2 linked regions of the Canis lupus familiaris genome follow. The protein of the gene in region 1 purifies or fractionates together with the protein of each later gene. This does not show direct contact. Links are inferred from orthologs where the notes say so. Each region holds a gene or a part of one and is shown in the gene's direction. Other genes may lie near its edges. The genes, in order: myeloid cell surface antigen CD33 and PTPN6.

Region 1 (4,523 bases):
AGACTTTGAGGCTACTTTTGGTACTATTCCGTTTCTGTGACATTCTGGAAATAACAAAACAATAGGGATGGACAACAGACCAGCATTTTTGCAAGTTTATGGGTGGAGGGAGGATTTGGCCACCAAATGACAAAAGGAAAGAACGTTTTGGGGAATGGCATGCTTCAGTCTCTTGACTCTGCTTATGGTTACATAATTTGATACATCCATCAACCTTGACAGAATTGTAGGAGATAACAAGTGAATCTCACTAAGTCTAAGTTAGAATAAATTAAGAAATAAAGAACACATCTAGAAACTACTACAATTCTGCAAGAATTGGTTTAAAAATTTTTTTAAGATTTTATTTGTGTATTCATGAGAGGCAGAGACATAGGCAGAGGGAGTAGCAGGCTCCCTGCGGGGAGCTGATGCAGGACTCAGTTCCAGGACCTGGGGATCACGACCTGAGCTGAAGTCAGGCACTCAACCATTGAGCCACCCTCTATGGTGCCCTTCTATGTTAATACTTTTCAAGGAACATTTACTTAAATATTACTGTGTTTGGAAGATTTTACGAATGTATGATGGCAAAGGCTATTATATATTTATATTGTAAAAAGAGGCATCAACGATTTCCCAGCTGTGTACTCCACAGAGTGAGATGGGCAAGCATGTCAGCAGAACCTACAGTTTTAATTGCAGCTGTATAACCACTCCACTCATATTTTCTGCAAAAATATGTGTTTTGAGCCACATTTGACCTTGAGAAGCTTATTTTTTACATGACAGGAACTGTTAATTGTCTGATGAGGAACTAAAGAAATTGCTTCAGCCCACACTCCATTGTACAGACAGAGATTCCAATGGCTCATAAACATGTTTTCTCCCTTTTGTTTTACATGGAACTATGTAGTTTTTTCAGTTCTCCTTTTGTTTTTTTTTTTGTTTTTTTTTTTTTTCAGTTCTCCTTTTGGAGATCCAGTGACACTTTAGAAATCAGCATAATAGAAGTAAAAAAATGGTCCTATCCTTGTATATAAGAAAATATCCAGGAGACCAGGAGACACATTGCAAAGTCACAGGTGTCTGCAGCTGTGAACCTGATAGGGACAAAATGAAAGTATAGTGTATCTATGAAGGAAGTGGTACCCTTGGTTGGGACCACGTCATGGAATGAACTGGGTCAGGCCCAACTGTCTTATCTCCAGGTGCCCCCAACACAGATATTAACTAGGTATTTGGAGAATGGATGAATGAATGAATGAATGAATGAACGAGTGGCTCCTGCTTTCTCTTCATCCAGGACCCCATCTTTCCTTCTGCTCCAGACACTCACATAGACCTAAGAATCCTCCACCTTGCAGGACTGATCACCTGAGGATCTAGATGAGCCTGTGACTCCAGGTTTAGCCAGGAATTGACTAGCTCCCTGTTAGAGACAATACTGCTCAATCACCTCAGGTGGGAGGACCTGAGGAGACTCACTGTGTCCCATGCCTCATGTGTCCTCAGAGAACCTGGACCAGACTCTGGTGCCACAAACAAGTGCCAGGATGGGGGCAGTGAGGGTCCACTGAGAATCTCTTCTCCCTTGGGGGGGGGGTCTCCTTTGTTCTTGTCCAGGAGTGTGGCTGATTCTGTGCAGGGAGGGGGTGAGCTCTGGGGCTGCAGTTCCATTTCTGTGAACTACGAGGCCTCATGCTCCTCCCCAGCTTCTCATGGGTCCTTCCCAGCACCAATCCTACTGGCTTTCACTTCTCCTTCACCCACAGGAAGCCTACATACCCTCTTGTCTAGGATGCTGCTCCTGCTGCTGCCCATACTGTGGGCAGTTGAATGGGCCCAGGGGAAGGTGAAGTTGGGAGCCTCTGCCGACGCTGGAGTCCCAAGATCCTTGGCTCAAGATCCGATATACTGGCTACAAATACAGGAGTCCCTGACGGTGCAGGAGGGCCTGTGCATCTCTGTGCCCTGCTACTTCTCCTACCCCATGGAATACTGGATCAAGACTTACTCTGCTTTGGGCTACTGGTTCCGGAATGGGACCAATGTACATTGGGGTGCTCCAGTGGCCACAAACAACCCAGATCGAAAAGTACAAGAGGAGACCCAGGGCCAATTCTTCCTACTTGGGGACCCTCAGGCCAACAACTGCTCCCTGGAGATCAGAGATGCACAAAGAAGGGACTCAGGGACATACTTCTTTAGGGTGGAGAGAGGGCCTTATTTGAAATATAGTTACCTACAGAACCAGCTCTCCGTGCATGTGACAGGTAAGGAGAAGACTCTAAATGACACCATAGGGGTAGGACAGGGCTCCAGGACTCCCTGGGTGGGTTGGGAGATGCATCTGGGACTCACAGGCAGGGGCTGCACCAAGCTGGGGCTTCTCTCAGGGGCAGACCTCAGATCACTCCTACTGATCCCCATGTCTCCCCATCTCCTCACAGCCCTGACCCATACACCTGACATCCTCATACCAGGGACCCTGGAATCTGGCCACCCCAGGAACCTGACCTGCTCTGTGCCCTGGGCTTGTGAGCAGGGCATACCCCCCATCTTCTCCTGGATGTCAGCTGCCCTTACCTCCCTGGGCCCCAGGACCCACCTCTCCTCGGTGCTCACCCTCACCCCCAGGCCCCAAGACCACGGCACCAACCTCACCTGTCAGGTGCAGTTCCCTGCAGTTGGTGTAATGGTGGAAAGGACCATCCAACTCAATGTCACCTGTGAGTACAGAGCTAGGACCACCTGGGTGCCTAAGGGATGAGGGGAGGGAAAGCCAGCCTTAAGATGCCTGGCGCTTTAGTCCTAGAGGTCTGGTGGAGTGTGGGACCTAGAAAGACACAAACCCTGTCCCTTCTGTGTTTCTGTGGTTTCTGGGGTGGGGGGATGCCCATATGTATCTGATATTACCCCACCAGACTGAAGAAGGAAATCCCCTCTTTGATCCTAGGTACCACACAGAACCCAACAAATGGTGTCTGCCTGGAACACAGCACAGGTAGGAAGGAGCCTCATGTCCATGGGGTATTGACTGGCCAGGGTCTCTGTCAACTTAAGTCAGAGTGGGACTTTAGACTCCATGGATGAGGGTGTGTTGGTGTGCTGTGGTTAGACATGAGAAGCCCTCTCAGCCCTCTTCTCCCATAACCTCGCACTTTGGTCTTGCCCAAGTGACCTGCAGTTTTCTCTCCACTATCTTGAATATGCTTTTCATCAACCTCTGGTCCCTGAAGGCCTTGGAGCATTTTCAGTAGACTGTACTCTTGGAGGGGAGTTTTGGATTCATAGCAAAACTAAGCTGAAGGTAGAGATTTTTCCCCAAATGCCCTGCTTTAAGTGCATTACATCTCTACTATAAACATCCCCCACCAGAGGGTAGCTTTGTTACAATAAAATCTACATGGACGTCCTTTATCACCATCAGTCCATCCTTGACATTAGGGTTCATTCTTGGTATTATACATTCCATGAACTGGACAATGTATAATCACATGTAACCATCTAGTGTTACTGTGTGGAGTAATTTTGCTGCCCCAAAATGTCTCTGATCATTTTTTGACTGTCAATCCTCGGGCCTCACCTTGCCTTCTCTCTGAGCTTAGCCTTACCCCCATTGTTCTATCTCATTGATAATGATATCTGGCCCTCACCTGGATAGTGAGCCCCATTAGGACTCTTTCAGTGCATGCCAAATGGTTGACAGGTGATGCCCATGGACACATCCTTCACCTCGGGTGTGGGATGCATGGCCAGGCAGGGCCAGGAGAGCTGAGGGTCTGAGAACTCCCCTGCTTCTACCTGCCTCTGGAAGTGCAAAAGACCACATTTGACTCTGAGTGATAGGGCCAGTGGAGGCCAGGAGATTCAGACACCCTCCCTGGAAGGAAGGAGTGACTTCCACATCCCACAGAGCTCTGTACATCTCTCTCTCTCTCTCTTTCTCTCTCTCTCTCTCTCTCTTTCTCTCTCTCATTCTGGAATGCCAAGAGGGCTGAGAGCCTCATGGTCCCACTGCAGCCAGGTCTGGGATCTGCTGCAGAGAGACTCTGTATGAGGAAGAACCAGGATCCTAGAAGAGATGGTGTTTGCTAGACAGGAGTTCAGGGGCCAGATGGTATGGATAGAAGGTTTCACATAGACCATGTCCTTCTGGTGGAGGCTGAGGTCCCACAATGGGTAGAAGACCCTCAGGGCTGAACCCTGGACAGGAGTGAAAGGGTATCCCTCTCTGTGGAGCTGCAGAGGAGGCAATTTATGTCTGCACATCAAGATTGGAGTTCAGTCCAATTGTCTCTGTCTACAGGGAAACCAGGGACCAGGTCAGGAGTGACTGTAGGCGCCATTGGGGGAGCTGGTGTCACCATGCTGCTCACTCTCTGCCTCTGCCTTATCTTCTTTCGGTGAGCTGGGTAGGTGTGGGAGAGACGGGAAGAAGTGGGACCTGCAGGAGTTGTGATGTCTTGGAGCAAGGGTGAAGGGTGCCAAGTACAGGTGTGTTCTCAGCCCTGGTCCCAGTGGTCCAGGAGCAAGGGGAT
Region 2 (2,837 bases), on another chromosome or scaffold:
CAGCAACTTTTGCCCTGGGGCAGGGCTGGGTGGGCTGAATCTGGGGGTGCCCCTCACATGTCATCTCAGGGACTCTGCCTCTGGGGGCCGGCCCATTGCTAAGTACGACCCTCCTGTTACTCCCCTTCCACTTCTTGAAATCCCCATGGCCTTTATTTAGATGTTACAGGAAGGAAGTGGGTAAGGGGGGGTTATTTTTGACAATCTGGGTTTGAAATTAGTGCAACTCAGGCCACTAGCCTGGCGGCCCCGCGAAGCAGACAGAACTGGGGTCTCTGAGGGATCCTGAGTTTCCTGGGATCTGTTTGCTCTAGGATGCTGGTGGAGGGTGGGGAAAGAAGGGAGACCTCACACTTCACACAGCATCTCCGCATCATCTCCTGACCCCAGTGACCTTTCTGCCCTGCTGCCTCAAGGGCTGCCCTTTCCTGGTCTTCAGGGTCTGAAAAAAACGGGAAACAAAGTCCTCTCGAAAGAAGATCTAAATAAAACTTTTGAAGAGTGCGAGGTGGGGCTGGGGTGTGCAGTGGCGGGGAAGCCTCATTCAAGCCAAGGGTGCGGGAGAGGGTCAGGGGAGGCCCAGAGTGCCAGAGTGGGTGGGGGGAGGGACCCTGGTGGGCTGAAGAGCAGCCCCCAGCCAGCAATGAGGAGGCAGAGCAGGAAGTGGAAGGGTGAGATGCTGGAAAGAAGGAAGGCCAGGCGGGGCGGCCCTGGGAGAACTGGGCCCACCCACAAATCCCTTGGCTGAAGTGTTGAGTGCAAGTGCCCGGAACTCAGGGTCCGGCAGGCTTCTGCCTCTGGTTAGGCTGCCCAGTGACCCCGGGCACGTTACCTCATCTCGCCGGAGCCTCAGTTTCATCCTGCCACCGTGCTGGAGTTGAACGCTGGGGCTCTCCCTTCCTGGTGAGGCATGGCCGGGGCCTCTGATGGTGCCCCCTTCCCTCCCCAGTGCAGGCATCGGCCGCACAGGAACCATCATTGTCATCGACATGCTCATGGAGAGCATCTCCACCAAAGGTGAGGGTGACCCATGGGCGATGCAGGTGTTGGGGGTGTTGGGTGAGCGGCCCCTCAGTGTCCTCCTCTGCCTGGGCCTGAGGTCCAACTGTCATGCCTGCCCAGGGTTGGACTGTGACATCGACATCCAGAAGACGATCCAGATGGTGCGGGCGCAGCGCTCGGGCATGGTGCAAACGGAGGCACAGTACAAGTTCATCTATGTGGCCATCGCCCAGTTCATTGAAACCACGAAGAAGAAGCTGGAGGTCATGCAGGTATGTGCAGAGCAGGGCTCAGCAGAGCGGTGGGGGGCCGTGGGTGTCTCCTGGTCCTGCTGGGACCACTGCCCTCCCACCACACTTCTGCCCACAGTCCCAGAAGGGCCGGGAGTCAGAGTATGGGAACATCACCTACCCCCTAGCCATGAAGAACGCCCATGCCAAGGCATCCCGCACCTCTTCCAAGTAAGTGACCCCTGCCTACCCTCCTCCCTGGCCCGATCCTTCCTTTCCAGAGATGACAAGTGCCGCTGTCAGGGAGACCTGGGTTCAAGTTCAAGCTTGCCTCTTACTCCCTCTGCTCACAAATATTCCCTGAGTGTCCTCTACCTGGGTCCCATGCCAGGTCCTGGTGGTATTACTAATGTGTGAGATGGAGCTGTTGCCCGCAAGGAGCTTCTAGTCTAGGGAAAGGACGCTGACCGGGTCTCCTTTCTCCTGGCCTAAGTTTGTTCACCTGTGAAACAGGGGTGGGCCAGAGGCAGCTGCTGGTGCTGGGTAATCCTGCCCCATCTCCTGACCTGTGGCAACTGCCCACACTTGCCCACCCCACCTGCAGACACAAGGAGGACGTATATGAGAATTTGCAGAGTAAGAACAAGAAGGAGGAGAAGGTGAAGAAGCAGCGGTCGGCGGACAAGGAGAAGAGCAAGGGTTCCCTTAAGAGGAAGTGAGCCAGGGTATGGCCTCTCTGCTCCGGGCTCCGCCTTGCCCTGCCCCAAGTGTTCCCTGGATCCAATGCTTTCACCTGGATGGTTGGGGTGGCTACAACCTCACCCTGCCCTTTTTCCAACCATTCTGGATCCTTTTGATCCCCTTTTCGGGTCCAGGCACCCTCTTACTCTCTTACTCCCTTCTCTCTGCAGCCTCAGGCCTGATCCTTGCAGAGGCCTCCCGTGGACCAACCACAGCCGGAACTTAGGAGCCCGCCCCCATTCTATTGTAATTTAAAAGACTGCATCCCTACTTCCCTCTTCCTGACCCTGTATATAGCCCAGCAAGGCCCCAGGTGACCCTAGGCCCTTTACTCTTGTAAATAAAGCCCCAGGGAATCACTGTGTGTGGGTCTCTAATTCTGAACGCTTGGGTAGGAGGGGGCTCAGAAGGGGACGAAGAGGGAGGTGTGTGTGTGTGTGTGTGTGTGTGTGCGCGTGTGCGGGCGGTCGCATAAATTAAATTAAAGCTAGGCCTTCACAGCCATACAGACCTGGTTCTGGATTCTGCTAAACATACTAGGAGTGTGACCATGGGCCAGGTTCCTCAGCCTGTCCTTTCAGGGAAGAATGATCAAAGGCATAGCGTAGGGAATATAGTCAATGGTGTTGTGATAATTGTATGATAACAGATGGTGGCTACACTTACTGTGGTGAGCGAGTGTAACATACAGACTTGTGGAATCACTATGTTGTATACCTGAAACTAATGTAACATTGTGTGTGAACTATACTTCACTTAAAAAAAATATATATATATAATAAAATGGAGGATGATCCTGACAGAGTGATTGTGAGATCATTGTGACAAGGGAGAAAGACCACAAATGGCAATGATAATTCATTA

What was found.
Region 2: the proteins of myeloid cell surface antigen CD33 (region 1) and PTPN6 purify together in Homo sapiens (co-immunoprecipitation; 4 studies listed by BioGRID and IntAct, with this or other methods). This does not show direct contact. The link is inferred for Canis lupus familiaris from reciprocal best matches to the Homo sapiens genes CD33 and PTPN6.

The regions. Positions count from the first base shown.
Region 1 is NC_049222.1:106,346,139-106,350,661, reverse strand, and holds the start of myeloid cell surface antigen CD33, read left to right. Parts: upstream 1-1,711; 5' UTR 1,712-1,780; coding exon 1,781-2,255; intron 2,256-2,432; coding exon 2,433-2,711; intron 2,712-2,938; coding exon 2,939-2,986; intron 2,987-4,291; coding exon 4,292-4,388; intron 4,389-4,523. UniProt on the Homo sapiens protein: Sialic-acid-binding immunoglobulin-like lectin (Siglec) that plays a role in mediating cell-cell interactions and in maintaining immune cells in a resting state.
Region 2 is NC_049248.1:8,008,152-8,010,988, forward strand, and holds the end of PTPN6 (tyrosine-protein phosphatase non-receptor type 6), read left to right. Parts: intron 1-949; coding exon 950-1,017; intron 1,018-1,122; coding exon 1,123-1,274; intron 1,275-1,371; coding exon 1,372-1,463; intron 1,464-1,836; coding exon 1,837-1,951; 3' UTR 1,952-1,957; intron 1,958-2,143; 3' UTR 2,144-2,335; downstream 2,336-2,837. UniProt on the Homo sapiens protein: Tyrosine phosphatase enzyme that plays important roles in controlling immune signaling pathways and fundamental physiological processes such as hematopoiesis.